2 linked regions of the Oreochromis niloticus genome follow. The protein of the gene in region 2 interacts with the protein of the main gene of each other region in a pairwise test. Links are inferred from orthologs where the notes say so. Each region holds a gene or a part of one and is shown on either strand. Other genes may lie near its edges. The genes, in order: macroh2a1 and erich2.

Region 1 (16,136 bases), on a different chromosome or scaffold from region 2:
GACACAAGACAGACGCCAATTATCAGCGCCGGAGAAGCACAAGAGAAGACATCGTGAACACTTCCTGGCCATCCTGTGTAGATGTTAGTGAAACTGTTGTGAACATTTTATTTGTACTGTATAATCTGCAGATTCTGACAGGAATCTGCAACTATGCTTTGAAGCACCGCTCCTCTCTAAAACAGCAATAAGGATCATTATTAGGCCATATGTAAATAACTTTATAACTTAAAGCAAAATTGGGAAACGTAAAGTCCGAAACAAGTCTTTATATTAAGGTCCATCAGTCAAACAATACTGTTTGGTCTGGGTCTAAACAGAGCGCGTTGTGTGTGACGTCTTCTTTTGCGCATGCGGGCCGCTTTGAGGGTTCACACTAGAGCACGTTTGCAGTCACATTTTACTTGGTAAATGGTAAATGGACTGATTCTTATATAGCGCTTTTCTACTCTCCCAGAGTACTCAAAGCACTCTATACAACATGCCTCATTCACCCATTCACAACCCCCTCATACAAGCACTTCTAAACTCAAGTGCAACGTAAACTACATTCATACACATTCATACTCCGATGAACGCATCGGAGGGCAACTCGGGGTTAGTTTCTTGCCCAAGGATATTTGGCCTGCAGACTGGGGAAGCCAAGGATCGAACCACCAACCTTCCGATCAGTAGCTGATCTGCTCTACCACCTGAGCCACAGCCACCCCACACTTGTAGTGTGAACAAGCAGATAAAAAATAAAATAAAATAATCAGATTTGATCAAAAAATCGGAATTGAGCATTAAGACCTGCAGTGTGAATGTAGCCTAAGACAGGACAGGTAAACTCACCTGAGGTGGTGGAAGTCATGGAACTCAGGAGAAGGCAGGAAGGGAAGGTGGTATCCGCAGTGGGAGATGGTGGTGCTGACCAGAGCTACGCAGTACCACAGGGAGGTGGTGGACAGGTGGGAGCCCAGGAGCACTGGCCCGCTTACCACCGGCAACAAGTTGGAGACCTAACAGCAGAGAAGAATCCAGCACGTTTAACAGAAACACACTTACCCTTTGCAGAAGTAAAGTGCTGCGAGACTTGGAGGTGTGAATTATCAATTTTTCTTTCTTTCATTTATTCTTCTTTTGCATATTTAAAGATGAAATAGTCTCAATGATTTACAGCAAATGTACACGTGTGATCCGTATCTGCACGTTTGATCCATTTTTGCTGTTCAACACTAACATCAACTACAGTGGCGATCACTGAGCCAGCAGGGATACTTCAAGGACTAATCCGCTCAGCTCTAACTGTGCTAAAGTCACGTGCTAAGAGTGCAGGGAGTTCTTTCAGGATCAGGTCTGACCACATTCCTAAGGTAGAAATAAAAATCTGTTTGATTTACGTGAGATAGTTCCAGCTGCTTTGACGCTCACAGGGGAAAGAGTTCATTTCTTTTTGTTGAACACGTATATTCCCTGTTCTCTCACAGCAGAGAATTTTAGACTGTAATTTCTGTCTATTCTCACATTGTCTGCAGCCTGATGCTCAAGTCTAGAGCGCGTGTCAGAGAAAAATGACAAGTAGGAGAAAGAGGAAGGCTCACCACGTGCTCCAGAGGATGAGCGTAGATGGAGACGACACCGATGGGAGCGGTCCACTCGTGGTGCTGTTTGTGGTAATGCTTGTAGAGGCTGGGTTGGTGGAACAGCCTGAGGAAATTAAAAGAAACAAATTGAACACATCAAACGACCGCACCCTATCCTGCGTCAAGGTTTGTGCTATGCGCTGGCAAAGGCTCTGAGCTTACATAAGAAAAATCTGATTAACGCTGATAGACATTGTTGCAGGTTGCATTGCTTTATGTAGGGTTAGTCTACAAGCAATGTTTATACAGATCGCACCTAATGTCCATGTCCTGTTATGGTGAATTAAAACATATATAGCTATAAAAGAGAGTGACTGCATGCTGCATGCACGTGAAAGAAACGCAGAGATCAGCGTACTGTTAACATCACAATCACCGCCATCTCTGAAATGAGGAAGAAATGTCATCTACTGCCAACGATCCACTGATTGCATGTTTCATTTTGATGTGTCATGGGTGTTTAAAGTAAAAAATAAATGTTCTTTACCTGTGTGAATAGTAGAAGAGAATCTCCTCCAAGATGGAGAAGGCGGCCAGCTCCATCAGGGCCCAGTGAAAGGTGGGCAGCTCGGGGCCACAGGGGTTTCCTCTCCAGCTCATCAGGTAGTAAACGACCACCGTCATGGCCCCGGAGATTACCACGTGGTTGAAGAGGACACACTTCAAGGCTTGGCGCAGCTTAGCTGGATCCACCTGGAGGACAAATGGAGAGGTCAAAAGAGGCGTCAAAACTAGACACGATCTCAAAACGATTCAAACTACCAAGCTTCCGATATATATTCTTATTTCATGTCTTATCCTTTTCCATACTGTTGTTTCTGTTTATGCTGCAGGTACACCCGTCCAACCACATTAATGCAGTTATCTAATCAGCCAATCACATGAAAGCGCCTCAGTGCATTTAGACATTTATCCATGGTTAAGATGATCTGCAGAAGTTCAGTCTCAGAAAGAGGAAGAAAGGCGACTGAAGTGACTTTGGCAGCTTTTGAAACACTTTATGCCATATTCAATCTACTGGAATTTTCCCACATGACCATCTCTAGGGTTTCCAGAGAATGTGTGAAAAAGAGAAAATATCCATTGAGCAGCACTGCCTGGTATGAATTTCTACAGAAATGTGCAGATGGAAGGGTCAGAATTCAGTGTAAACAGCATGAAAGCATGGATTCATCCCGCCTTGTATCAACGGTTCAGGCTGGTGGTGTTGGTGTAAAGCCCTAGGCGACATTTTCTCAGCATGTTTAGAGTGCCTCGGTACCAATTCAGCAAGATAAGTATTGTTGCCAACTATGCCCATCCCTTTATGGCCACCCTGTACCAGTCTTCCAGTGGCTGCGTCCAGCAGGATAACGCACACATCACAAATGGCCTCCACACCAGATCTTAATAATAATCTTAAAAATCCTATAAAACAGCTTTGGATATGTGATTGAACATGAGATTTTCATCATGGATGTGCATGAGTGATGCAATCATGTCAACATGGACCAAAATATCTGTGGACTGCTTCTAGCACGTTGTTGAATTGTTGTCATGAAGAATTAAGGCCTTTCTGTTGGGGTCCAACCCAGTACTAGCAAGATGTACCTAATAAAGTGGTCATTGAGTGGATATCCGTATCAGCTAATTAACCCTTTTACCTCCAACCTTTGGAACCCAGTTATAAACTCATGCCATGTCATAATGAACTTTCCAGAGTGTGAGAACAGTGCGTCTCTGAAGTTTACACTGAACTTTTGTACATCTGTGTGTTTTCCATAACACACACACGCAGGCACACACGCAGGCACACACACACACACGCAGGCGCACTCTCCGAACAGCAGACTTAGTTTCTGTGCAGACTCTTTATCGAATGCTCTTTGTTTTCTCTCTCAATGTTCATTTAGTTGATATCTTCTTCCCTTTACTTGAACCAGCTGCAGCAGATAGCTCCACGACTGTGGCTTTCTTCCTGTTAGAAAGGCCTTTTTTTCTCCCCACTGTTGCCAAGGGAAACATTGGTTCCCTATAATCTATACAGTGTTTACATTATAGTATAAAGTGCCTTAAGAAAACTATTATGGTGAATTAGCTCTGTTTATCTACAGTAGATGACATTGATTTTTATCTCTATGTTACATCTGAAGATGGCACATCCAGTGTAAATAGCTCCACAAAATGCTAATTTTAACATAAATAAATGTTTCTACACTTAGAAATGGTGTGACTATACATTCAAATTTACAGCTCTTCTCAGTCACCAGTGACATGCACTTGTTATTTAGCCGTTTCTAAAGCAAATGTGTGATCACTACATGGGCTCTGACACATTGATCAGATAATTTAGATAAACAGTTATATTGCTTGATAAAGTAATATAATTTTATCATTCTTAACGAGACAGTTATATTGCTTTTTAAAGTACACAAGCACTTTTAACTAATATATAATCTTGTTCCATTATAGCACATCCTGGTTTGTTTATGATCAGTAGATCCCAAGTTCAGACAGCTATTCTCGATCATTGACCCGCAGTATTTCTGCTCGGAGTCACAGAGAAACACTGTGACAGCAGCTTTTCGCAGATTACCTCATCATTAAAGATATAAAATTTAAGGACCGCGGAAATTTATCTTAAGCTGTAACAGCGGCAAATTCCACTGAGTACATGCAAATCAGAGGAGGAGTGATTTCTGAAGCGATAACACACTCGCTGATGGGAAAATTAGAGAAAATAGGGCAAAAACAACAGACTGGAAGTCTTTTGGCTTGGGTAAAGTGAGTTTCCAGTTTGTGCACTGGAAAAACAATCACTAACAAGGACACTTTTCACAGTAACCCCTGGTTATCAGTAATGCCCCTCTTTATCTCCGCGGTGTCCGACAACATCTGTTAATCAAACACAGTTAGAGGACTTTGGTCAGACGGGCATGTGGAGAGCACTGAGGGCCCCCTCGTTTGCAGATGTTATCAACCACATCTGCACACACACGCATTGTGTGGATCTTTAAGTAGAGCAGCGGCCTACAGCAGCATGCCCAATAGCAGGACAGAAAATTAAAATGTACTTGTTTTTTTTAAATCTCACATTCACTTAAAAAAAGATATGATGTGATCATAAAATACAAAAAATGAAGCTTGTACATTTTATGTCGACGGCATAAAAAAACAAAACAAGTGTCAGTGCAGATAAAACAAAATCTAAAACAAATCTGGAGCTTACTGGGTTGTTCTTGTCCAACTGGATACGGTAGCGGGTGATGAAGGAGGGTGTACCAGTGATGTCCACCCACAGCAGGAGAGCATTTGACCCCCAGAAGGCCAGAGTGGGAGCAAGCATGGTCCCTATGGAGATAAATAAGATAACTATTAGAGAACCTTTAACTCAACCGGGGCCTTCATTATGCGTTCATTTACGCACAACTCCAAACACATAAGGAGAAGATTTCAAGTTAAATCCACGGCAAAATTTTCCACAATGACATCATCACTGTGCACCTTGCTGTTTTTGTTTGTTTGCATGAAAATATCACCGAAGGTGTTGCTCCAGCATGCTGAGGAGTGATTAACTTTTGGAGTCGATCCGCCTCTGGATCTGGAAATTTTTGGAATGATTCGTTGAGATTATGAGCAAAATTGGACATTTTGTCTCAGATACTCACATATTCTCCAGGGAATCAATTCATGCATGGTGTGTGTTGAGTTTTTAGCTTTGATAGTATTTAGTGAGTGGCTGGTCTTTTTTCATTATTATTATAGTGTGATGTTATGTGGTCTGAAAACACTGAACTGAAAATACAAACCCTACCTAGCACGCATCCTATGTCCTACATACTCTAGATAACATCTGAATGAGGGAAACCACCTATTGTGCAAAACCATAAGTCCAAAATGTAGAAAAAAAAATCTATACATCGATGAAACCACCTAAATAATATGATACAAAAGGAGGTCATTTAAGTTATTTGCATGTTTAACGCAGTCTGCAGTACTTGGGATGACCATAAACAATGTTATGAAACACCTTTAACCATCCACAGTCATTTGCAATGTTGCACTTGGGTTTTATTTCTTACCCAGGAAGAACAAAGAAGCATCATGGCCCTCGTATGCCACGTACAACTTGGTCCACAAGTTCTGCCAAAAATCTCCTGAAGCTCCCCAGAATCTCTGAAGGTGCCTGAAGAAGGAATTACAGCTCAGTTTTAAATTCACAAAACTGATTACATGTTAAACAAACCTCTGTGGAAACTATTCGTTACACAGTTGTCTACACATCTTGTACTTGCATGCTCTCTCCTTTCCGGCAGCCCATATGAAACCCTCCAAACAAAAATCTAACTACCAAGAGTGTGTCAAACATGAGACCCTGCAGCTACAACTAGCCCAGCAAAGACTCCAATCTGAAATACTTGTACATATTACATAATTTCAGGTGATGTCATTTTTAATTTCATGTAATGCTGTGCTCTGTTTACACCCTTTACCAGCCTGACATGTACGGTCCTGTCCTCGTCTATCCAGTCCTGGCTCTGCATCACTCCTCCTATCCAGTTCTCATCTGTTGGGTCCGACTCCTTGTTCTGTAGCGCTTGCCTCTTTCTACTCTGCATAACGTAACAACCTGGCAATGCCACTCCTCCAGTTTATGTCAGGGCAAACTGTTGTTTTGCTGATGTGACATACCATGTCAGTGAGTTCCCGAACGCAGCCAAGAATAAGATCCCAGATCCGATGACAAACCCGGCTTTCTTCACAGAGTCCCACAGTCCTCCGGGGCCCTCCTGGGAGACAGAAAAAGAAACAGCGTTGTGTGAAGCCCTCTGTTGCTTCGGCGATGAGAATGCAATCTCATGATGTTTCGCTATATTAGCATTTCCCCACAGAAACCTCTCATGGTACAGAAATGTCTCAAAAACAACAGCGAGACTGTTACTGAAACCTCTATCTGCCCAGGAGGATGAGAACACTGTGGATCTGAGTGGTTCCTGTTGAGTGTGGGGTTTTCAGGAACTGCCTGAAGTTAATAACCCAGAATGCAAAGCAGCAGGAGGGGAAACAGTAAGACTGAAAACTCTCTCTGTGTATTTTAAAATACTGTGTGGCATTATTCATTTATTACTTAGGTAATTACAGCCCACATTTATAGTGCATTTTCAATCATCATATAGAGCATCTCAGTTAAAAGGATAACAGTATTTGACACCTGTTTAGAAAGGTCTAAATGTAGCCGTTTACACAGAAAATGTGCACGCTGACTCCAACAAAATGCATCTGCATTGAGAAACGCAGATCAGTTCACTCAGCAGGAAATAAGCCCAAGGATTGATGTCACATTCACTAGACTCTCTAAAATGCCAGCTTTTCACCTCAGCTGCCCCCATCCAAGCCACGACAACAGAGAGAACAATGTCACACAAATGCCGTGCTGGTCTCACGCCTCAGCTGGTCGTTTTTAGAGATGCAATCATGATCATGAAGATGCAAATACACCGATGCTTCCTTGTGCATTTATTGGGACATTTTTGCTTACTACATTTATTACCCATATATTTTTTCTGAAAATTGAGTTACTAAGCTATCATTTCCCTGTGAGCTACACTCTCATTTTGCTTTTCTGCTCCACGTGACAACAAAACCCGTCTCTACTGCTTCACTGATTAAAACACTCCTTTTCTCACGATCATACACACAATCCATTATTTGCTTTTGTCTATTTACTGCCTCTATAGTTTTTTTTTTAAAAAAAGGAAAAAAAAGGAACTTGTCTATCAGGTCAAGCCTGTTGTCAACAACATACAGCAAAGAGGGCAAGTCTCAGTGGAGTCACGGTTTAAAAACAGCAGTCAGATGGAAAGATTCCTAATTAGACACATCAGACCGCAGCTATAAAAATGAAAATTCAACCTTTAAAGACGTGATTTAGAAAAATATGCAGGAACAAGTAGTGCATGCAGAAAACTAACAGAATAAGCTAAAATTTGACTTGCATTTAGCCCACAGGACAGTTGAGAGATTCACAGATTTGATTTTTTTTAAAAGGATTTGCCAAACATCAGCTTCTGTGTGTGCTTCGGCCCCCCGGGCTGCATAAAAAAAAAGGAAATGTAGAGATATGTAGGGCAACATGAGACAGGTTTCATTTGAAGCTTTGCACGCATCAAAGTATCTGCAGTTGTTTGGCAAGATTACATAACATACACATAACAACCTCCTCCCCAAAAACAGATGAGCAGTAATCCAGCAATTCACATCAGACAGCTAAGAGGAAAAAACCTCATGTAATGTATAACAGATCGAGGGCTGTGCTTGCGTTGTCGATGACTCGCTGTATTGTGTTGCCGTCTTGTCCGTTTGTGAATCTTTTCAGTTGAATGATGATAACAGCAAGGTGTTTGGCTGCAAGGACGACCTGTTCTTACCTGTCGGCCGCTGCTTCCTCTGCTTCCCCCAGCTTCCCTCGCACCTGCAAACACAAAATTACATACAAGAATTAAAACATGTAGATGCTACAGCAAATATCTAATTCGGTTTCAATTCAGTTTTATTTACATAGTGCCAAATCACAACAACAGATACCTCAAGGCGCTTATTGTAAGGCACTATCATCTATCAGGAATTGCCAGTAAAGCGCATTTTAAAATAAAAAAAATCAAACTATGATTCTGAAAGCAAAAAATCATAAGGAGGTGTACCATCTCAAAATAACTAATTACAGAGCAATAAAGTTTATTGGAAAATTAAAGTGGGCTAACTCCAGCTGTCCTTCAAAATAGGAGTCTTTGATAACAGGAGATTTATTTTTTTTTATTATATTTTTGTAATTACATTTAAGACATTAAGTTTCTCTTTGAAATGTTGTCATTTCTCAAAAAACTTTTACATTTTTGTCTCAAACTTCTTTGTATATTTCCATTGCAGAGTAATCATCTGAGTGCATGTGCAAATTTGTACCACAGGAGGATTAAATACAATCCTATTATTAGAGTGTGGACGTTTTTAGTGAAATTCTTGGGGATCAGGCTGCCCTACATACACTCGGCCCCTCTCTTTTTGCAGTAAAGGTGTAAAAGAAAAAGCACAAACATCCATCCAACTAATAATTATTTTCACAACAATCATTCACATACTTTTTTTTTAAATCACAGTTTTTGTCCAGCAGTGCAAAACAACCTATTAATTTTCACAAGGTCGTACAAAAAACAGAAAATGTTAGAGGTTTGAGAACCTTTCTAAAAAAAATAATTAAACAATAATCAGTTTATGAGAACGATTGAAAACACGTGGAAGAACTGAGTAACAACCCAATCGGGAACAGGAATGTTAGAGCTGGTCCGTAACATTACTGGGAAAATCAAGCTGCAAATTTAACAAGTACTTATCTTATATTCTTTAATTTATAGTCTGGATGTTGATGTTGACTTAGTAACTTGAATTCTGCTCGGCACTCTGTTTATCTGTGCCCAGCTGTCTTTTTATGTCATAAATCAAGCTAGAGACGTCAAATGGCTATTAAGGTTTGGCTTAATGGCTATTGTAATAATTGGAGAATGACTTAAATATATCTGTTTTTATTAGCGGTTGCTGGTGAGCCTGAATATCTATAATTTACGTGCAAATTATGTTGACCTATATTATTATTATAACGCCATTATCTAACCAAAACTAACAGGCATGTAATCCTAATAAGAAATATTAAAATAAATCGTTAATTTAGCTGAACTGGTGCTCAACTGTGCACCTTACAGGAGTGTTATACAGAGTTTATATATTGCGAGCTGAACTGCGTGTACCTGAACGCACCAGGTGCCTTTGTTTTTGCATCACTGGGCCTACAGGTGAGGAAAAAGACAGCTGTGCTCAGTTTTACTAATAGCGTTTTCACGCTGATCAAACCCGATCTGACGCTATGTTTGCGTTTCAAATCTGCGCTGACTTACCGCTGGCTGCTGTCTCCACCGACATGTCTGCCCGCTGCTCACAGTCCCGCACCGGCCGCTGCTGTTCAGCAGCTCTGGAAAGAAGCAGTTTATTTACAACAGCCAGCGACTTCTCACTGGCTGACTCCCGGTCAGCTGACCCAAGCCCGGAAAACGAGACTCCTTCCTGCTCGGTGTGTTTTTTTCCTGCGGTCCACGTGAGATCCAGGTGAAGGTTGAAACCACAGCGGAGGCCGGTCAGTGCTGTGATCCAATGCATTAGATAGCTGTCTCATTAAGTGAATAACGCTGTCAGATTTGCTTGGATATTTTATTTTCGTACTTTGTTCTACACCATAAAATTTTAGTCTTTAGGAAATCGTTTTTCATTTAGATTCGCTGAGAAATATAGAAACCAACGACCAGATTAATCATTAATGATCATAACTGTTCGCTGCAGGATCCTTTCTCTTTGTTGAAGCTTCTCAGTGCAGTCGTGTCTACTTGCAGAGTGAAGTTTCAAAGCAGAAACCAATTGTAGCAGGGAAAGCAGGAAAACATGAATCATTTATATTTATATCCTTATATTTTGCTTCTAATGAGCCAGATTGTCTTGTCATTTCTTAACGTGGTCTTTAGCAATAGTTCTCTGGGATTTCTTTCAGCGTTTGTCTCTGGATTCTGGCTCATTTTCACTCCTGTTCTGTCCAGTTCTTGTACCTGACTAATTTCAGAGAACTGGTTTTTGCTTGATAAACACTTAACACTGACCTACAAATGATTCAAACATAGCAAAGGCAGCTAACTCAAGGGATGAATCAATGTTGTGTCTACACATATCAGACAACTTAGCAAAGAACCGATTTTAAATGGTATCTTTGTGCACTTTATTATTAGCAGCTTGTCATAAAACACATTATTTATTCTAATTTCCTCAGTTAAATCTGCAAAAATGCCAAAGAACACAGTTTAACAGCCCTAAAATATATTTCTACAAGTGGTTATTCCCAAACAATTATTAGCTGAAACGCTACAATAATATACGCACACAATGCATATTTCAGCATGGTGTGCGATGTGTCCTCAAAACAAGGAAACTGAAAGAATAGAGGACAAAAAAAGAAATGGCAAGCCTCCAAAAACTATTTACAGCAAATGAACAATATCTGAAAGTCATGTCCTTAAGAAACAGGAAAAGCTCAAAGCCCACAGGACCTGAGAGATGCATCTGGAACTTCATTTGATCTATCTTCTGGTCACTGAAGCCCAGATTTTAAACCAACATGCAACACCATCTGGAAAGCATCTGACTGGCAACAGCTTCAATTTTCACCATAGCCTGCAGTGCACACGTCCAGTAGAGTAAAAGCATACCTGGATAGAAAAACACACACTGGGACACTAACAGTCATGGATTGGCCTCCCCAGAGCCCAGACCTGAACGTTAACCTGAACAGTGAGATCATCTTAACAGAGAACAGAACAAACAGCAGTCAAGATCCAGAAAAGAGCTTTTAATGAATAGGCTGGCAATTAGCTTTCAACAAAAAATAAAATAACTAAAAGTGTAGATTCAAGAGCACATATTCTTCTTCCACTTGTCTTCTTAGTTCGAGCTCTATAGACGACCATGACCCAGATGACTGAGAAACTACAGGGGCATGGGAGCACATGATTAAAAAAAAGCATAAAAAACCAAACATTTCACTAATGCAAGAAAATTCCAACCATTTAAAACCAGTGCAGCCACGTTCACTCTCACACAGCTCAGTGAACGCAGACCTGGAACTCTTTCAGCTGTGCTTTCAAACTGAATTAAAATCTTGAACTCTTTATTCATTCAGAGCCATGCCCTCTCCTAACCGCGCCAGCACGCAGTTCCAGTTGACATTCTCGTGGAGATGCTTAAATTTCCAAAGAAACAAGACTTTAGGAAAATGTGTCTGAAGATCTGTACGTCAAAAGCCTATTTGAATGAATGGTGCATAAATATTACATATATGCATATGTGATACTGCTGTGTTTTACTGTAGAAAGCATCTCCTAATAGGCTAGTGGTATATCTGAAAATGCTGTATTACACTGTGGGTCTGTATGCTGTACACATTGTGCTCCTAGCATTCCCTGCAGTAAAAACCACCTCAGGGAAATTAGCTCTCGCTTATTTTTACAACTTACAGATAAAAACAAGAGTTAACAGTGAATACTTTTATTTTAACTGTGAATGTGGAGCTCAGAGTACTGACCCCAAATAAACTACAGTGATCATGGCAAAGGAGGAACATGGCAGTGCATGGTGAAAGTGCATAGTTGTAATTTAAAAAAGTGGGTGTGCTGTTAAAATGTATCCATATACGAAGTATATGGAGGGATGGTTCTGCAAAACACTATAAAGAAAAAGAAAAAAAGTTTTGGGGGGGTTCATGTAAGTTGCTGATCCTAATGGGCTTCACCATTGGTTGTGTGAAATGGTCAGAGGGGCAGACATTAGTCTGTGGTGGCTGTGGTCGTACCTTTGCTCCACCCCTCGCCTGAACAACAATAAAGCTATAATGCACAGATAACAAGTAAGGCTTTGTACAGACAGTACCTGTAACTATCACTTTTGTTTCTTCTATTTATAGTAAAATATCCTAAAGGCAAAGTATATTGTTATCTAATCATTGTTATCTAAAGTCCAACCTTCAGTTTGGAAGTACAGTTCTGGGCAACAGTCTTTAGCCACCTTTCATTCCTTTATAGTTTGAGTCCAAGGAGCCAAACTTACTTGTAGTTTGTAAAAAAGTTGTGGAGCAATAGTTTGGTTTTCTGGTGTTTTGAAGGTCTTTCAAAGGTTTCTGTGGACATTGGCTGCTTTTTCAATCCAATCCTTATAACAGAGTGTTTTTTAAGACTTATTGCTGAAAAAAAACAAATTAGTCAAGAACCCATCTTAACCCTTTCATGCATGAATTATGACAACCTCATTCAGGATTTTTTTCTTCAGTATTTTTATTCATCTTTAGGCATGAAAAATAAGATTTTTGAACTTGTATGTGCATTTTGAACTTCATTTGTTTTTAAACATGGCAGGGTATGGAGTGACACATCAGCGTCCAATGTAGTGGTTTATGTGCAAGTATACCATCAACACTGTCACAAATACAAGACAACAGCCTTTGAATAGCTGTCCAGTGTAGTGACCAATCTGCGTGAAAGGGTTAAATTTCATCTTTAGACATTTTGTTACTATATAATTTGGTCTTACTTTCTTTAGTTGAATCTATGGAAAATGCCAACAGTAACACAGTTTGACAGGAATAAAATAGAGTTTTTGTACCAATAGGGTGATTTCCAAACAACTATTAGCTGAAACTGTGGAGGCCTAAAAAACTATCTGCAGTAAATAAACAGTATCTGAAAGTCACATTCTTAGAAAATGGGGGAAAAAAATCCTTCAAAGGTCTTAAATATGATCTGAGAGATGCAGCTGACCCTTCAGTTGATCCATCTAAATCTACAATGAAGCCTCAGTAGACCAGAAGTGGTCTAAGTGGGAGGGTGGCTGTCAAGAAGCCATTTTTAAGAAAAGGAAACAGTGAGAAAAGGCTGAGGTATGCCAAATTACACAAGAGCCAGACTGAAAATCAGTGGCAGCAGGTCTGATGGTGTGATGAATCAAAATGTAACATTTTTGGATCAACACATCAACATGTACGGAGGAGGTTGGGAAAAAGGTACAACAGTAAGCTTCTCCAATCTGGCCCACTGGACGGCTTTGGAAAATGTGATGGACGGCATAAACTTTAGACCTTTAACTGTATTTTCATAAGTTTTACAGCTTTTGCTACTGATAAAGATCTCCCACGTGATCATTCACACAACACCAAAGTAATTATGAAATAGATAAACAATTACTTATAAATTTCAGGTTTTTACAATGATTTCAAAGTAAAATAAATAAATAAATAATTGAGCATTTTCTGTGAATGAACAAAAATGCTCTGTTTAATTACTGGGTAGGCTGGCGATGAACTACCAGAGCTTTTTCTGCAGTTTAAAACATTTATTCCTCACAATTTAAGTCCAAAGAGCCATGTTGGTAGATTTCTTTCATAACACTGCCAGTGCAGAAAAACCAAAAACACACAACAGAACGCTGTCAGTCATGGATTGGCCTCCCCAGAGCCCGGACCTCAACATTATTGAAGCAGTTGATAGAGAACAGAACACGAGGCAGCCAATATCTAAAGAAGAGCTTTGGATGTCCTTTAAGATGCCGGGAGAACTGTTTCTAAATACTACATAAAGAAATGACAAGAAAGCTGCCTAAGAAACATCAGATGATGACGAACAATAAAGGTGGTCATACTAAATATTCACTTTCAAGCTCGTTACAAAGCTCTCTGTATGTGCATTTCCATGTATGTGTGCACTCATTTCAATAAATCTCTAAATCTTTTAAAATTTTCTAGCTAAATATGAACAAATGAGGGGTGGTCAAACTCTTTCACAGTGCTGTACTTCCATGTACAACACTGCAGCTTTACAGAGATGATATGAATGCCTACAGGATGCACGTGCATGCACTTTTCCCTATTTTCCGTGCTGTAACTTCTCGTGCAGTTATCACTTAATACTCCCTTACCAAGAAGACTTTCAGATTTGTCAGCAACATGTGGCTTCGTTTATTATCACCAATCATTGTGAAACAGGCGATCGGCACACTGTAAAAAATATGATTTAAACACTTTTGCGGATAATATGAAAATGTGGAAAGAGAGGTGATGCACTTCTTACATCTCAGAGGAGCTTCTCTCATCTCTAGTCTGTAGATTTATTGCTGTTTATTCTTTTATTGGCTATGATTCTAAATTGTTTAATTAATGCATTTATGACACATTTTATGATATCCTGTACTGATGAAATTGGCAACTGCATTATTTCCTTTGGACGACGCCGTTCCTGTATTACATGACAGATTGTGCTATATCAGCAGTGTAGTCTGCTGACATATTTTCTTTTACTATTTTACTGTTGATATCAGTTAGCCATAACTGAATGAAAGTCTTGGCAGATTTTATTTTTTAATTAATTTATTATTTCTTTGTATTATCAGCCTACACTTTCAGATCCAGACTCAGACCCTCCAGGAGGGGGCGACAAATTTCAACTCACTCTACTCCCACCATCATGGTGTGACCAAATTTTATTCAAGCCATAGGATCTGATTTTGTGTGCGAGTTTTACTCTGTATGATTTAATAAAAATAAATTTACAGTGCAGTTTTTTAAATTATAATATTAGTTATTATATTATGTTTTCTGTTATTTCAGTCTTTCTTTTGGTTGGGAATCACAGGAACGAGGAGACATGATCCTCAGTACTTTTCTATTATATTACACACATAAATAACTTAATTGGTTTATCAGAAAACTGAAGTATATATCACAAGTTTAGGTAAAATAGTTTCACTGTAAATGCTGCATAGCAGACTTATACATTTGATGGATCGATTGATTTGTTGTAAAAGTCATCTTAAGTCTGATTTAGGTTTTTATGCACTAAATGAGATCTAGTTAGTCCGATTTCATCCGGTCCCTGCAGCGTATTTTCACACTGATACTAACTTTAGTTCTCTGTATGCCAGATGCAAACAGAGGCGAGCTTACTACACAGCTCAGGTCTGACCTCTGGTGAGAAACTGTGCGCACTGCATCAGTATGGTGCACACATCTATCAGATGTGAGTCCTGCACAGCCTTGACTGTCTTTGAATGTCCTTCAGCTTTTTTTTTTGGTTTGTTTGTTTTCGTGTTAAATCTCCTTTTTTCAGGTTTGATTTGCACATATACAGTTTTTAACAGTCATGAAGTATTAGATGAATTCTGGTACCTACCGAACTACTTACCTAAACAGCTGATAAACCTTTGGATGAAGGGTGGCCAGCGACATTATCTGTTTGTTTTTACAGTTGTTTCTATGCTTTTCCTGCAGCTTAAATATTTTATTCAGATCACGTGGGTGGTGGTGGGGTTCCACCGTTTGAGTATTAATGCTTTAATAAATGCCATATTTTATTTAGGACTTCTGCCTACATATTAGCTGCATAACTTTCTCAGCACCAGGAGATGCACCAAAGATTTAGCTCATACATGTTGAAGACACGTGTTTTATCTTTGGTCTAGGAGTGTAAAAACTAATCTGAAAAACAAAATTTGTCACACAGCATGCTTCGGTTACCCTTACAATAGACGGTGGTGGTAATTCAGGCATCGGTGTAACTTTGTGCTGAACATTGGGGGGGTCAAGATCTCTGTCTAAATAAATAAATAAATCTGGGTAAATTCCAGATGATTAAACATGCAACTATTTTCCTGGTAATAACTGAAATGAGTAAAGAAACAAAGAATCAACAGCCTATTAATGCAAGATAATTCATAATTTTAATGGGGGTTATATTGGTTGGGTCTGATTATTGGGGGGTCATAACCCCCCTGGAAATTACGCCCCTTAATTCAGGTGATGAGCTGCCTGATTAAGTGGAAAGAAGAAGAAAACTTTTATTTTTGAAACACATTTTTGGCCTTTTTAGTCTTTAATCTTTTGGTCACCTGCTCAACGCAGTG
Region 2 (16,276 bases):
GCACCCGTGGGTGCCCGCCTCACCCTGTGACATCACAGCCTCACCCCGTCAGGAAGCGCCCAGCCAGCCTGCCCCTCCCCTATAGGTGCAGTCTGATTGCCTCGGTGCTCAGGACAGGCTGCCACACACAGCCAATAAATACACACCCTCCGAAGAGGGGTTAATGAAGGATGCAAAGTGCCCTGAAGCAGCGTGTCTCTACAGGGCCACCGTCAGATTTTATAAGCTTTTCGCATATATGTGCAGAATAATGCGTGGGCCTAATTGCGCGTAAAAAACACGGGGAAGCCCCAGGCTCTTTGTTCTTAAAGTAAAAATATATTTTCAGTGAAAATGTTTATTGCTCATTAATAAACCGTATGAATAATTAGTGGCCACTGCACGGGGTTAAAACGTCATTTAACTAATGAAAATCTGATGATCACTTACTAAAAAACAAAAAACAACCAAAACAATGTCAGACTTTCTCAGACTTGTGCTGCAGTAAAGCGGTCAATAATGCGCCTTTTGAATGGATACAGCTTTACGTGACACTGAATTCAACTTGCATGACTGCAAATAAATAAACATCCACACTTTCCATCGTGTGAGCCTCTGAAAGAAGCAGATTCCTTTATGTGATTGAGAAAATAAACGTCACATCCACACCCTCCACTGTAAAAAAAAGAAAAAAGAAAAAAAAAGGGGCTATTAGAGACACTGACAGTAAGCCTGAGAAAAGTGACTCAAAAAATAATCGGATGTGATAGGAAAAGCAAATCGTTACGAGTTATTTTAAGGCTTGTTCTGCTTTCTGTTTCCAGGCTTGTCCCGGAGATTTTTCTCTTGGTGCTGAAATGGGAAAGACAGGGGAGGGTGCAAGGAGGGGCGGGGGGGCTGATCCGGGGCTCTCCTCAGCAGACCTACAGGCTAATGTCCAGTGACCTTTGGAAGATGGAAACGCACACTGACAGTGTGGAGGACGGCCCCGCTCTATCAACCTGTAATGTGGCCTATATTTCTGAGGGCCTCGAAATGAGTAAGATCATAATAAAGCGCAAAAGAAAATGTGAGACGGTCAGAAGGAAAGAAAGAAGGAAACCAGTCACAACGGAATTCAATATTGAGAGCCATGGTATGTCAAAAAAAATCTTTTTTAAATTTTTTTTTTATTTCTTTATTTCATTTTCTTAAATAACATCTACAAGATTAAACCATTTTTTCGTGGCGAAACAAAACTTACCGCAAATCTTCATCCCCAGTTTCCTTGTGCATCCGTGCATCCACGCGTATTCGTTGGCTAAAACAAAATGAACGTTTGAGTTTCTGAGCGTGGAGACCGCGAGCAAATGTGGTGAGGCGGATGATGGAGCACAGCGAGCACATGGAACAAAAAATAAATAAATGAAAGCGTGAAGGAGCGACTCTTGGCCAGGTGTGCGACTGTGGGGTGTTTGGGTATATTCATATTTTCTGTAAAGAATTACACTGACTGTTTGGCTTTGTTGAACACGGATTTAGCCTCCTTACACTCCCTTTGATCACAAGGGGGGATGAGTCTGCTAACACTTCCGATTTGAGTTCAATCAATAGGGACCGACAGTGACCCGCACGGCAAATCCACGCCGGCTCACACACCCAGCCAAAGGGCGGACTGGAATTAACACCCGTGAAATGAGCTCACGGAGGAGGGCAGAAATTAATTGAGTGGATCACAGTATGTGAGTGGAGCGAGCTGGTAATGTCTCTGGTCTGGAAGTCTACAGCAGGCGCTTGAAGCACAAACTTGGAGCGTAGTGCGTCGATGTACACACACACACACACACACACACACACACACACACACATGCATGCATATACACTTAGTGCCACACACACGCACACACAAACCAGAGCGTGGACACGCGTGAGCTGAGATGGAGCAGAAAGCCTGAGGGAACAAGATGCAGAGCGCACGGCGCAAAAAGTGAGAAGCGACGAGGCGAATGTACCTGATGGAGAACTTGCAAAAACAAAACAAAACAAAAAACAACAACAAGTATTTAAATTTACTGAAGCAATTTCATCCCGACAAAGAACAGCCCTTGGTGCGGAGGCCGAGGCATAAACACACACATACACGGTAACACACACAGACCCTCGCGCACGCAAAGCCGCCAGGCGTGAGATGGAGCGTGGCAGAGAGATAATGGCAACATCCAGCAGCAGCAGCAGCAGCAGCAGTACACGAGCAAGCAGACAAAACAAACATCCTTTTTTAAAAGGACTTTTTCTTGGTTCGAATTTTCATTAAAGAAATTTTTCTTTATATGTTTATTGGCACTCAAGGGCCACAGATAAAAGATTTCGAAATTTTGTATCCGGTAACGAGGAAGGGAAAATAAAGCATGTATTTGCACACTGGACAAAAGGAGCTGCAGGCTATCCCTGTAACGTTTTTCTGAAACAAAACAAAACAAAACTGCAATTATTTCCCTGCTTTGGACTGCAGATGGCTGCTCAAGTGTGCTCTAATGGAGTCAATTTTGTGTATGCGACAAAAGCTCGACGTGATTAATTAACCCACAGGTTAATGCACAGGTTTAGATTTTTCTTTTTCTTTTTTTAAAAAGGGATGCGAATAAAAAAGCATGCCTAAACAAATTACTACAGACAATTCTTATATCAATTTTTTTTTTTTTTTTTTGCTGTATATCAAGACGAAAGGCGCACAGGATCAAATATTCAAATCTTTGTGTTTTTATTTTTCGGTTGAAACTCATATTTTGAAATAGAACACGTTCAGGAAAAACGCTCTGGGATCGTTAGAATTGCCAGCGCTCTAATGGCGCATTATTTCTGCCAGGTCCGCCGCTCTGCGCGCACCGCTGATCCGCCAGACAGCGACAGGCAGCTGTGATGGCTCTGTTTTTAACCGGAATGATTAACGACGGAGCCCGCACAGCAAATGGCCCGGGCTACACTCTCCTTTATCAGACAGGGAAGGAGGGGAGAGAGACAGAGAGGGAGAGAGAGAAGCAGACAGAGGCGCGTGGAGGGTGAACCTGGGTTTAAACCGCTGTGCTGGCGATAGATCGAGCTGCAGAAGTGTCTTTGAGCAAGGCACCGAGTGGCTTTCACCACAGCCCGAGCGCTCTGGAGACTGACAACCTTAAACACAATTTAGCCTCGGGGGGCCGAAGCCAAAGTGTTGTTAACAGGGAGAGGAGTTTGGGGACCTACTTGTGGTCGGAGGTCTTAAATTAGCTGAGTTGGGGTCTTGGTCCCCGCCGGCAGCTCTCGGCTCAGACGTAGCCATCAGTCCTCTGTTACTTTGGTTTCCAGGTGCGGGAATTATTCAGCTGCAAACAAAACGACTCAGTGTTAGGAGAGGCTGTGTGTCAGATTTACGATAATTGCGTGCCGTTTAAATGGCAGGCCGAGATTTTGATCAGAAAACGATGCTCCGTCCGTCACCGGGAGCGCTTCATTCTCCCTTTAAACGGCTGAAGCCGCGCAATTTGGAGTGAGTTGCGCACAACGCGCTACCAAGACGCACATCGCAATACTTTGGGGGATAAAATGGCTGCATGGGTATCGGTTTTATTTAGAGACACTCTTCGGATTGTGTTGCATCCAGTCAGCTGTTAACTACCCCAGCGCTGCTGCATGACACAGGTTTACAGAAAATGGGCCACAGATTTACAGATTTGTTTTTTTTTTTGTTTTGTTTTTTTTTTTAAGTTGGGAACTAGCAAAAGAAACATGGCTCGTTCTTGCACTAAGTTCCTATGGATCATTAAAACCAAATCATCGTTTAATTTAAAAAGAAAAATCTGTTTTTTTATATAACAGCTGACATTTTAAACGATCAAAACCAAAATATTAAAGAAAGAACACGTAAGGCCCGCGTTTCACATCGTATAAAATCACCGAGATGATCAGAAAATCAGAATAAAACGAATGCATTAAAAATGATACTTCACAGACAGCAAATATTGATAAAATGAGGTGACAGTGTCCACATAAATAACCGTTCCCCATTCATGTGTTGACTCAGTAATCGACATTTCAATTAAGATATGCTTTGAACACCACCCTTACTACAATGTCATCACGAGACAGAGAGGCAGCGAGAGAGCGAGAGAAAGAGAGAGAGGCTGAACAACTAATAAATTCGTTCTGTCTCCCGTCTGGGAATGATTTATGTGAGAATTCTATCATTATTGTTATTATTATTGTTTAGTTTTTGCTCTCACATTTTGTCCTCCAAAGCTGATCTCACGATATCAGCGGCTGAAAAGTGGAGTGGTTTAAGCATCTTCCCCCCAACCTCTGTCTCTGAAGAAACAGACACGAAGGGTGCAGCTGGAGAAGGAAAGAAGAAGGGATCTTACCGGCTCACGGGGCGCACAGGTTGTCGAGTCCAGACAAAGTACAACTTAAATGTTACAACTGCCACCCGAAGGCGCGACAAGAAACAGTCCAGTGGTGGCGATGGCGGAATATCAACAGAGCGCACTGATAAAATCCCATCCGGCGGCGCGCAAGTGACCCTTTCTCACTCAAGAATATTTTTATTCGTTATTTATATCTGAGGATCCGGCTGCCCATTGGTCTCTTCACGCAGGCATGAGTCACAGCCTTGCCTCCCACCCTGACGGCTAATGAAGCTTCCTTGAGTGCTACTGACAGCTACAATCCACTTTAAGGAACCAAACAAGCAAAAGGAAAAATACCGATGACGTTTACCCGCCCCTGTGTGCGTGTATGTGTGTGTGGGCGAGCTCTTGTGTCTCCAGGTGTGGGTGGGTGTCACAGGGATGAGGGTGGAGACTTGAATGTAAATTTGGTTACATAGAAATTGACCTTGGAAGGAAACTGCACAGCTGGGCTTTTAAATACCAACAGATACATATTCAGAACATCCGGCCCATCTCCTCATATCTGTTGATTGATTGGGTTTTGGGGACCTGTGGAAGCTGTTAGGCCATTTATTCCAGAATAGACACATTTATTATAAAGTGAGCAGGACAAGCCATCCAGGAGCCATCCATCCATGCAAGCACTGTCTGTAATATTCACCTTCATGAGATGAAAACATTGCCTACATCATAATTTCTGACCTACTCACTGCTTTAACCTCGCCACGGACAATAACGCCGAGACTTCGAAGCACGGCGGGCGCTGGCTTAGTGTCCTTTCTGTCATCCTCACGCCTGCCTCTGGATCCAGTGCATGGGCAGGGACCAGCCGTTATGTTCATTCAGCCGCTGCAATTTATTCAGCCTTTATCAGGAGCCAATCATATCTTTCTCCACTCACAAGTGACATGTGGAGATGCATAAAGATAAACTCAGACTGATGGCCTTCAACAAGGAGGCTTAGCTGCTGGGATTTACATCTGCACTAAAACAGGGCACATAAAAGGTCTTCACTGCTTATGAGTTTACATAGGCTAACATTTTATTTGTGCTAATTTAATTGCCACCATAACAAAAGACTGGATAGTGGACCAGATGGACTGCAGAATCAGTTTTTTTGTTTGGGTCACATTACAGCTCTCATCCACAGTGAAAAGTGAAAAATAAAACAAGTAAGAAATGATGGCTTTGGTCTCTCTTGTTTCATGCACAAATCTGTGACATTTACATACTCCTTATATACCACATCTTTTCCCTGTCATGCAGCACCGCTTATCATCTTCACACAGAGAGAGCTGATGTTTAAAGAATCCTGAAATCAAAGCCATGAGAGGATTCAGCAAACATGGTGGTAGACGTGTAAACTTCCAGGGAAAAAAGTGCTGTTTTTTTTTTTTGTTGAATTTCATGCAATCTGAATGATGATATATAAACATGTTTTTGTATGACGGTGACAATTTAAAAATCAGTTTAGGTAATGTTTCAACATAACTGCTAGAGTCAGCATCAAAGGGGTTACAAGCTGGATGCAGAGTGGCCAGATTGCTGCTAGGAGACCAATAGTTGGAGACTGCTGATGAGACTTTAAGTGATGATCAAACATAACCGCTTAGAAGATTTTTGACTGTTAAATATCTGTTATATTAACAAGAATGAGGAACATGAATGCAGCATTTACATATCATCACATCTATAGGCCGAAACTCTTCAGCTGCTTCTTTGTGTTGAGCAGTTAGCAGCTAACTGTATGTGCTGTGTGTTCCTAGTGTTCAGTTTTGGCATGTCTGGTCATAAAACTGCAGGGTTGTATTTTCCGATGCATTTTTACCATCAGTTCGAATGGGTTAAGGTATTTTGCATTTAATCACATAATCATTCTCAAAATGGATATGACACTGATCAAGTAGATTCATTTACAGTCTCTTCTGCAGGTTAACCTGCAACCGGAGGTTTATCGGATTTATCAGGAAGCGTGTGTGGTTTGCCCGTATATTTTCACGGGTGATCTATCAGCGATTTATCAGTTCACGTTTTCAGGAAATGAGGGCATCCGCTCAGTCCACAGGAGCTACTTTATTTCCAGGTGAAAATATGAGAGAATATGTAACTGTCACTGTGTCTACACTGAAAAGACTGCGACTGTGGGCAGCGGCAGTGTGCCTTAAAATAAACACAATATATGTAACATAGTCCCTGCTAGACAGGTCGAACAGCTTTAAGGGTAAATATGAGCAGGAGGGCATGGCTTGTGTCTGCTAAAATAGTTTTCCTTTTCATAATCATCATCATGATCATCATCAGTACTATCAGTCAATCAATCAATCAATCAATCAATCAATCATCTGAGGCTGAAGAAGAGGAGCAAGATGAGCTATGAGAGGAGTCCTCATCACTTCCGGAATCAATGTCATCCTCCTCCTCATCACTTTCTTCCTCGTTGCTTCTCTCTGCGTCTTGCTCTGATGGAAAAATCAAACAACACCTTCGATGTTTAGTCTGTAACATGCAGCCTAAAGTGTTTGTACAAAGACAACTGTCACCTTCCAGCAGCTTCTTCTGGATCAATGGGAGGAACTCTGAGGCCTCAGGATTGTCTGGCTCGTAGATGAGAACTGGAGCGAGGAGAGAAGAGGTAGCATTGACTAACTTGGCGGCTCGCTCACTTATTCATTGACCGACAGACAGACGTATAGCAAACAGGTGCAGGATACGTACTCATGTGACAGAGTTTAACAGCCAGCTTGAAGTATTTGTCCTTCAGAGCTCTGAGGAACTGAAAGTTAACATTTTCACTTTAAAGTTGAAGCAAAAAACATTTCAGACATTTGAAACATGCAAAGAAAAAAGCACTCTGTGGACAGAGCATGAAGTGTGGATAAGCTGGACCAGTTGCATTACTGTACCTTCATTAAAAGCCCCACTGGAGCCTTAAGGTCTTCACACTTCGCATTCTCTTCCTCAGTCTGTGCTTTGTCCTCTTTAGCTTTATACATGAGGAGAGGTTCAGCTGGTGTGTGAGCATCTGTCGGTCCCCCTGACAATCATCACCATAATCACTTTGTAATGTTATTTCTTTTGCCTTTGTGCTTTGCATTTTATCCTGTACCCACCTGTTCCTTTTGTGCCTGAGGACTTTAACATCTCCGTGCCTTTCTTTTCCAGCTGCTCCACAGGTGCCCAGCCAATCCTGAAATCACAGGTGATCTGTGTCAGAACTGTATCAGAGGCATATCTCATTGGTCTGATCACTGGCTGGAAGAATTTCGATATTGTGTGGCTCTAGGGGTGGGCCACACACAAACTCAAAGAGCAGCTCAACATTATAAAACAATATGAATGCAGAGAACAAGTCTAAGTAAAGACCAAATGCTGTCCAGAATAAAGGGCAACATTTACATATAGATGCTCATTTTCCATGGGTCTGTGTTGGTACTCGTTCAGGTACTGTATACACTGCAACAGCAATGAAAGAATTAATTTCCCGTCATCTTCACTGGGTGTAAATTCCCTTCACCATATCCCATAGTTGCAGTCTAATCACTTATTTTATGTGTTCTCTGACTGAGAGCAGAAACACCTCTTATCGTGTACAACTGTACATAAATGAATAATAATGTTTGTTTTTGTTGCCCAAAACAAGACATATATAGCAGCCTTTGAGAGTCTTGCTGTTTACGGTCTCCTTATAATAACTACCAGATGAGCGTTTTAATGTGATTAGTCAGGAACTACCGTTTTTGTCATCTCACAAAATTAGAAAATGAGATACTGATGACAAGCAGAAGAACACATGAAGCTAATGTTGTCATTAAAATCTTTTCACCATCCGGTTTGCAAGTTGCTTTAGCAGAAAGCAACATCCAGGTGAAGACACAATAAAAATACTAATTATTATTATTATACAGCTTCTTAATAGGATGTGTAGGGCAGTGAAAAGACAAAGTTGAAAAATGTGTGACTCACTTAGAGCAACGAGTGTCCTGCCCAACAACTGCATAGAGTGAGCAGCCTGTGAACAACAGGTCTGCAGTTCACAGAAACAGCATACCTGTAGCTAGTAGAACCAGACCGTCACGGACACCTGCTGTTGCACAAGTTGTTTATCTGATCGTTCAAAGTTCAAAGGGCTTTAAGTCTGAGGTCCTATTCTGGGAATTTCTGACAGTTTCTTGCAGTGAAACTTGAAGGTTGTAACTTTCCTTTAGCTGTCGGAGAAGGAGGTAAGCAGCCGTTACTAAGCAACGGAGAAACGCACAGTCGTGGCCTTCAATGTTGCCGGAAATTTGGCCATTACATCAGAGACATGCCAAGCAATGATTTGAAATCTATGAAATGAATGAATGAATGAATGAATAGCACTCAAGCAAAGATTTATTATTATTTCTTTAACATTTAGCTGCTGATGCGTATTATTTATTCTATTTTGTATAGTATGTTAATCTGTTTTATCTCATTCTATTCTATTGTTTTTCTTAATTTTTGCTGCTCTTAACTTTGTACTCCCACTTTCTGACCAAAAAATTTCCAACGTGTGGGACTAATAAAGGCTTATCTTATCTTATCTTATCTTATCTTATCTTATCTTATCTTATGGAAGCAATGGTCCTGGGAACGTTTGGAATTAAAGTTAATTTAGATATAAAGTTAAAAAAAAGAAAAGAAGAAATGAGTGCCTATAGGTGTTTCATGGTGACTGCTGTCTTGTGAGACTGCTTTTGGGGGAGATGCAGTATCAAAATGAAAATAAATAAGTTAAATAATAATAATAATAACATTGCAAAATTCCTTAGTGTTTCTTTTTCCTCAGTGAATATAATTTTAAAATATGGGTTTGTAACACTAACAAATCATTTCATGTAAACATTCTTAGCCCACAGACTGCACACACACAGAGTTACGTTCCTGAGAGCCTTGTTTTTTAGTTGTTACCCGTTGTTGTTACCCTTCTGTCTTTTCCCTTACATTAATCAAAAGATTTACACAGTAAATGAAGTTCTACAAATTCAACAGGATAAAAAAAATGAAACACTTGATACTCTGAAAAGGTGATTACATACCCTTATGTGTCTACCCCAAAACTCAGCACACGTCCACAGTGGACAATCTGGTGCATCCCATTATTTTTAAGTGAGCCCAGAGTATGGAGACCAAGCCAACTTGTGACTATTATGATAGTTTTTTTGCAAATCAGAGAATTTGCTTAATTTCAGTGTATGGAGTCATTAATTCAGTTTAATTTTTTATAATGGTTCATCAAATGCTTGCATGCTATATTCCTATAAAGATATCCGGCTATTATACCCTCAACTTTCTACAATTTTGCAAACGTACAAAATAAAGCAGAGACTAAGAATGCATTTGCATGTTTACAGTTTCTGAGCTCATATATTCAAGGGTTTGAAGGGTTCTCTCACAGCCCTTGAGAGACTGCCTCTGTCCACCCTCCATCTCAGCCATATTTCATTCAATAAGTAGCTGTAACCGCCACATTAGCTGCGCATACATCGAAAGAGCTGCCCTCTGTCATGAATGTGTGTGTCGGTGAGTGTGTGAGAGAATGTGAAGACGCAACAAGGTATTGTGTGTGTGTGTGTGTGTTTAATAGATTGAGGTCTCCTTTGCTCTTGGCTGCATTGTTTCACGGTTGTCTTAAAATCGCAGCGAGATATGGACTGTCAGACTGACAGGCTCCAGACTCAGACATCCCACAGAGCCTAAATTAGCACATGATTGGCAGGACTGTTCATTTTCTCCTAGAGTCTGAAGTGCTGTTTCGAGAAAGGTAAGGTTAGCTTGGAGTGTTAAATGCATATTTTGCTCTTCATCTCCTACACACACTCACTTGGTGTCATACACACACATAAAACTATATATCAATTAGGCAGGGTCATGAAGTTTCTTACACTGAGCACTCCCTTGGGGCCGTCTCGTGCACGCTGACATGCCATTGAAGCGTGTGCATGTGTGCTTTCAGTGTAGACTTTGTGGGCTTTTATTAAAGTGGAGAGTAGGAATCCAGGAATCTTGCAGGCAGGATTCCTGTTCTTATGGTATTATAGTATACTTCCCTTAGGCAGTATCATTAGAAAGCACAGTATAAATTTTCACTGCTATGCAGAAGATACCTGACTTTATCTATCCATGCAGCCAGATAACACACAGTTAGTTAAATGCAGGAATGTCTTAAAGACACAAAGACTTGGATGACCTCTAATTTTCTGCTTCAAAATTCAAATCTATTGTCTGTAACCCGAGACTTACTCTGGATGGCATGACTGTGGCCTCCAGTAACACTGCGAGGAATTGTGGAGCCTTTTTAACCAGGATATGACTTTAAACAAATATGTTGGAATCTTTCTTGCATTTGCACAATATCTCTGAAATGACAAACCTCCAGTCTCAGAGTGAGGCTGAAAAACGAGTTTATACATTTATTATCTTTTGGCTGGGCTATTAAATATGATTACATAATTATATAATTATTTTATAATTATATAGAAACTCTCTGAAAAGACTTCAGCTGATCCAAAATGCTGCAGTGAGAGCACTGACAAGGACCATGAAGAGAAAGCATTTTTCTGCCATGTTGGCTTTTCTTCATTGCATACATTCAAGGGTTTGAAGGGTTAAATCCAAAATCAAATTTAAACTCCTTCTCCTCACATACAAGGTCCTGAATAATCAGACCCCATCTTATCTTAAAGACCTCACAGCATGTAATCACCCACATGAAACACTTGGCTCTCAGACGAATGGGAGGCAAAGCCTTCAGATTTCAGGCTCCTCTTTGTGGAACCAGCTCCCGGTTTGGAGTCGGGATGCAGACACCCTCTCTACTTTTAAGGATTAGGCTTAAAGCGTTTTTTCCTTGATAACTCTTATAGTTATAGTGGATCAGGTGAATCCTCCTTCAGTTATGCTGTAATCGACTCAGAGTGCTGGGAGCTTCCTATGATGCACCGAGTGTTTTTTCTTCACTCACCTCTTTTTCACTCACTTATGTTTATAAACCAATTTTCAGTTAATCATTTGTAATTTTGACTTTAAACTCTGACTCTCTCCCACATGTGTCTTTTGCCCTGTCTCCCTCCCCTCACCCTCAACCGGTTGTAGCCGATGGCTACCTGAGTCTGGTTCTTCCGCACATGACTTCCTCTTAAAAGGTGTTTACCTTCCCACTGTTGCAAAGTCCTTACTCAAAGGGCAATTGTTAAAATTCCCAACAATTGCACAACCTGTAAGGTTTGTACCTTACAATATAAAAGGTGACTTGGCACTATAACTGAATTGAATTGAACTGCACTGAACTGAATTCAACAGTGGAAGAAACAAAGCAGATAAATGCGGGGAACCTCTGTAGAGCCTACAACCTAACTTTTGTAAGTCGTCGACATCATTGCGGGCTTTTTTGTGCTTGTGCATGATGTGTGTCCCAATGTTTTACATGTGATGACAGGATTTTTTCCCCTCCTGGGTTCCCACACTTGTTGTTTTCAGTTTGTTTGTTTTTTCAAAGACAAACAGGTTTGTCATTCCAGTTTTTCCACTTCTTTGCACATTCTGATAGTTTCATAAACTTCCCTGGAGGAATTTCCTAAGATTTGTGAGTCCTTTTTTAGGTGCTATGATTATTATTCTTGATGACTGTTATTCTCTCACTGATGATTCAAAAACTGCAGCAAATAGCAGCTGGAAATGCACAGGAGGACTAAGAGTACTGAACAGGCCAAACACAATAGTTGCAGGCTGCACTGACATGACATTTCGAGGGAGGTGTACACCAGGTTACATCTGAGGATTCTGCAATAGTATCATAAATCCTGAGTTATGGGTAAGTCCAAAATCGCCCGTAGACATAAAGATCACGGGAGTGTGTTCAAAGACTACAGGCCCCAAGAACTCCCGTTTACTTAGCAGTGTTACTTTAAATGTGTGTCTGTACAGTTTTGGGCTCTGTGCATTCCCCCTTCCCCACACCTCAGCTCTGAGTTGGGAAAAAGATTTTTTTTATAACTCATCCATATTGAAAATTTGTTTTGTGGCCATGGTGATTGAGAGACATCATAATAGGAGTCTGCTAAGCCTCATCCACTACTTTTAGTAGTCATTAAACTGGACCTCTTCACAGTATTTGTAGGAGTTTGTTGTGTTTTCCAGCTCTGCTGGAGTTGTTTTAATGGATTGTGTGACCAATATTACAGCTTGCTGTGGGCCACAGCCCATCCAAGAGACTTGTGCTTCTGTTTTAGTGAGTGACATTCTGGTGTTTATTTATCACTCGGTTACTTAGCACTAATTGCCTTAAATGCGTGCCTGTGCATTGTACTTTTACTGTTTATGAACATGGCTTGCTAACAAAGCTAGCTAGCTGATAAATTAGCACGTCACCCTTTCATCCGTACAAGCTAACTTCTGGCTTCAAAAAAAAAAAAAAAAATGCTAATGCTGAGCCAGTGGTTGAGGGTTTACACAGACTGTGGTAAAAACAAAATCATGCCCTACACATACTGTCGACCCCGAACAGTACAGAAATGCTTACTGCACCCCTCGACAAGGGTCAAGGCTTTGGGATTTTCCTGTTATTTGTCATTAGCAGATAGAAGCATACTCAATTTGGGCTGAAATGTGCGCAAAATGCTATATATTTTAAGCCTGATGATTTTCCCATTTAATATGGGAGAGCCTCTGTTATTCCAAAGTAAAATAAAGATCCAACAGAATCCAAAGACCCCAGATACATTGAGCTCAGAAGAAATATTTGGAGTATTTTGGAGTGGGAGTTTCTCGGTGTCAAATGACAAAGGCTGAACTCGAGCTACTAATGCTCGTTTGAACGTGCACCGCTTCAACTCTTCTTGCCCAATAACAGATGGAGACAGAAACTAAATGCACACCCCAAAACACACCAGCACCACAAGCCCATCAGGCACACCTGCCATGGAAGCTTGATGGGAAAATATATTCCACACAGACGACATGATAACAGAATCATTTCACACTTCACTGATCACCTGCACATTCCCATTGCGTGCATGAGTATGAGTGTGTGTGTGTGAAAGAGAGCGCAGGCGAGGGCCTTCAGTAGGGTGCAGCCTGGTTGTACTCGGTGCATGCGCCTTGACAGACTCTCTGCTCCTCCCAAATTTCCATATGATGAGGTTGTCGTGACAGTGAAAGAATACACAGCTCGAGAACGTGTCATATTCCTCCAGGACATCACAATGTGTAATGTGGAGCATGTATTTGTGTGATGGAACACGCAGTCCCTGCTGTAGCTTTATTAACAGAGATTAGCATTAACAAAACAAAGCAACATCATGCCGTCATAAACAGTCTCTCTGCGGTGTGGGTTTGTATGTATATGTGCCACACTCATGCTCATGTTACCGTGTCCTCGTGTTTATGAAGCATCTGTGCAGGTCTGTCAGTGTGATGTGGCGTGTGACGATCCACCATCACGTCTCACGGCCTCGAGCAGACTGAAGGCTAATAATAAATGCAAATTACAATCACAGGAGCAGCTCGGAGCTGGAGAGGATAATTGCTCCATTATGGCGCTGTGCGTCTGAGGATGTGTGTGTGTCGGAGGGACAGAGGGGGAGCCACCAAATACCAGTTGTGACATCACAAACAGACTACATAACAGGACAAGTGAGGTGATACAAGTATTGATTTATTTGCTGGGAAAAAAAAACATCCACTTTTCCAGTGAGAGTGCCAAGTCAGGCTAATTAAAGTGTGATATAATCACAAATCAACATAAAGAAAGAAAGATCTAGATCACACGCAAGTCCTGTTTAGCACATGAAGCTAAAAATAGTTTGTTACTGCATGTGCCTTTCTCGGTTACAATAGATGCAATGATCAGGAATAACATTATGACCACTGACAAGTTAAGTGAATGACACTCATTATCTCCTCATCGTGGCAGCTGTTAGTGGGTGGGATATATTAAGAAGTGAATATTTTGTCTTTTAAAAGCTGATGTGTCAGAAGCCTAAGGATCTGTCTGCAGCGGTCAGTATCTATGAAAAGCAAGTCAGAGGAAGGAACAGTGGTGAACCAGGGTCATTGTTGGCCAAGGCTCATTGATGCATGTGGGGACCGAATGCTGGCCTGTGTTGTCCAATCTAACAGACGAGCTACTGTATCACTGCATACTGATTTAATTTTGCTTGTACATCATGTGCAAGGTGTGTGTGTCCCTTACCTGGAGAACACCTGGCACCAGGATGCACTATGGGAAGAAGGCAAGCCAGCAGACACAGTATGATGCTTTGGGCAATGTTCTGCTGGGAAATTTTGGGTCCTGCCTTCCATGTGGATGTTTCTTTGACATGTGCCACCTACCTAAGCATTGTTGGTGCACCCTTTCATGGAAACAGTATCCCCTGATGGCTGTGGCTAACGGCAAAAATGGTTCAGGAATAGTTTACGGAGCACAACAAGGAGTTTGAGGTGTTGACTTGGCCTCTGATCCATGGAGGCTCCACCTCACAACTTACAGGACTTAAAGCATCTGTTGCTAACATCTTGGTGCCAGATACGATAGCACAGTTTCAAGGTTCTGGTGGAGTCCATGCCTCAATAGTTAAGGGCTGTTTTGGCAGCAGAAGGGGGACCAACACAATAAAAGGCAGGTGGTCATGAAGTTGTGCCTGATTGCTCTGACTTCTTTTTTTCTTTCTTTCTTTCTAGGGTCACCCATCGAAAACATAAAGATGATTTTAGATGGAAACTGAGATGTTCACACCTGTTTGAAGACTTTACACAGAGCTATGGTAATTCCTGACAGATTAGGTTTTGAGTTTACTGAGAACACATAAGAGTGACAACAAACTTCCATATACCTCGTTTTTTTTCCTGCTTATCCAATTACGAGTGTGCTGGAGTCCATCCAGCCTGTCACAGGGCGAAACGCAGGTCGCAGGACTAACACAAGCATTCCCACTCATATTCACACCTACAGCTATTTTAGAATAACCAATTAACCTAACATGTGTCTTTGGAGTCATCGTGCCTGGAAAATAACATAGTAACAATCTTCTCACTGAAATAAAGGCAAAAGAGCAAACAAGGACAAAAACAACATAAAACATGTTGATCAGCTAATTCTGTTCAATATGTGTTTCCTAGAACGTCCTACAACATCATTAAAGGGCAGAAAATAAGGAAAAACATAATAGGTCTAAATTAAGCAATTAGATACCATTTGATAACTAAAACTGCATTAGAAGCGTACATAAGGGATCGAAACTAGAAGTACATTATCTAAGATTTGTGACAGTTTTGAAAAAGGAGTATCTCATTTTTATTTATTTTCAGGTTCATTTCCTTCCTCCAATTTCCAGGAAAGTGTCTTCATAGCATTCTCTTCTTTAACCTCCTTCACTTTATGTGGCATTTGCGAACAGTCATAAGTGACACATCACTTTATTGCGCTGTTAAATCGCTCTCTTGTTTGTGCCATGGTAAGATGTGCCAAGGGGAGGTGGGTGTTACAGCTAATATTATTATTATTATTACACGTGTTTTACATTTAATGTGAAATCTCTTTAAAAGGATGGCTACAGCCTCCGGGTGCCTCACTGTGTCTGTATATCATCATCGTAATCATCATCTCTGACTTCCTAAGCGGATCTTTTACTTACTCTTTCCATTTTTCTGCCCCACATCTCACTGATGGACCGGGCCCATCTGTCTCTCTTTTAGCCCATTCATCATTTCCTCTCTCATCAACTCTGTATTTCTTCATTTTCTTTCCCTTTTCCATCTTTGTCTCTCACTCACTCATCCCCGTTTCAAGGGTTGTTTTTTTTTACTCCCCCCTCCTCTTCCTTCCGTTCCATCCATCTGCCTCCCACTTTTGCCTATGCAGTCGTTTTCTTGCTTCA

What was found.
Region 1: the proteins of erich2 (region 2) and macroh2a1 interact in binary tests that used the Homo sapiens proteins (3 or more experiments, as listed by UniProt). The two-hybrid records come from large-scale screens. The link is inferred for Oreochromis niloticus from reciprocal best matches to the Homo sapiens genes ERICH2 and MACROH2A1.

What each region holds. Positions count from the first base shown.
Region 1 is NC_031975.2:23,506,996-23,523,131, reverse strand, and holds the start of macroh2a1 (core histone macro-H2A.1), read left to right. Parts: upstream 1-9,677; 5' UTR 9,678-9,786; intron 9,787-16,136. Other genes in the region: faxdc2 (fatty acid hydroxylase domain-containing protein 2), read right to left, coding at 835-1,001, 1,584-1,689, 2,113-2,318, 4,834-4,955, 5,687-5,790, 6,297-6,394, 8,033-8,076, 9,404-9,442 and 1 more. UniProt on the Homo sapiens protein: Variant histone H2A which replaces conventional H2A in a subset of nucleosomes where it represses transcription. Nucleosomes wrap and compact DNA into chromatin, limiting DNA accessibility to the cellular machineries which require DNA as a template.
Region 2 is NC_031982.2:8,032,945-8,049,220, reverse strand, and holds erich2 (glutamate-rich protein 2), read right to left. Parts: upstream 8,626-16,276; 5' UTR 8,431-8,625; exon of another isoform or gene 8,346-8,430; intron 7,570-8,345; 5' UTR 7,524-7,569; coding exon 7,493-7,523; intron 7,417-7,492; coding exon 7,286-7,416; intron 7,156-7,285; coding exon 7,098-7,155; intron 6,995-7,097; coding exon 6,923-6,994; intron 6,842-6,922; coding exon 6,717-6,841; 3' UTR 5,985-6,716; downstream 1-5,984. Other genes in the region: glutamate decarboxylase 1, read right to left, coding at 1,223-1,279, 3,202-3,277.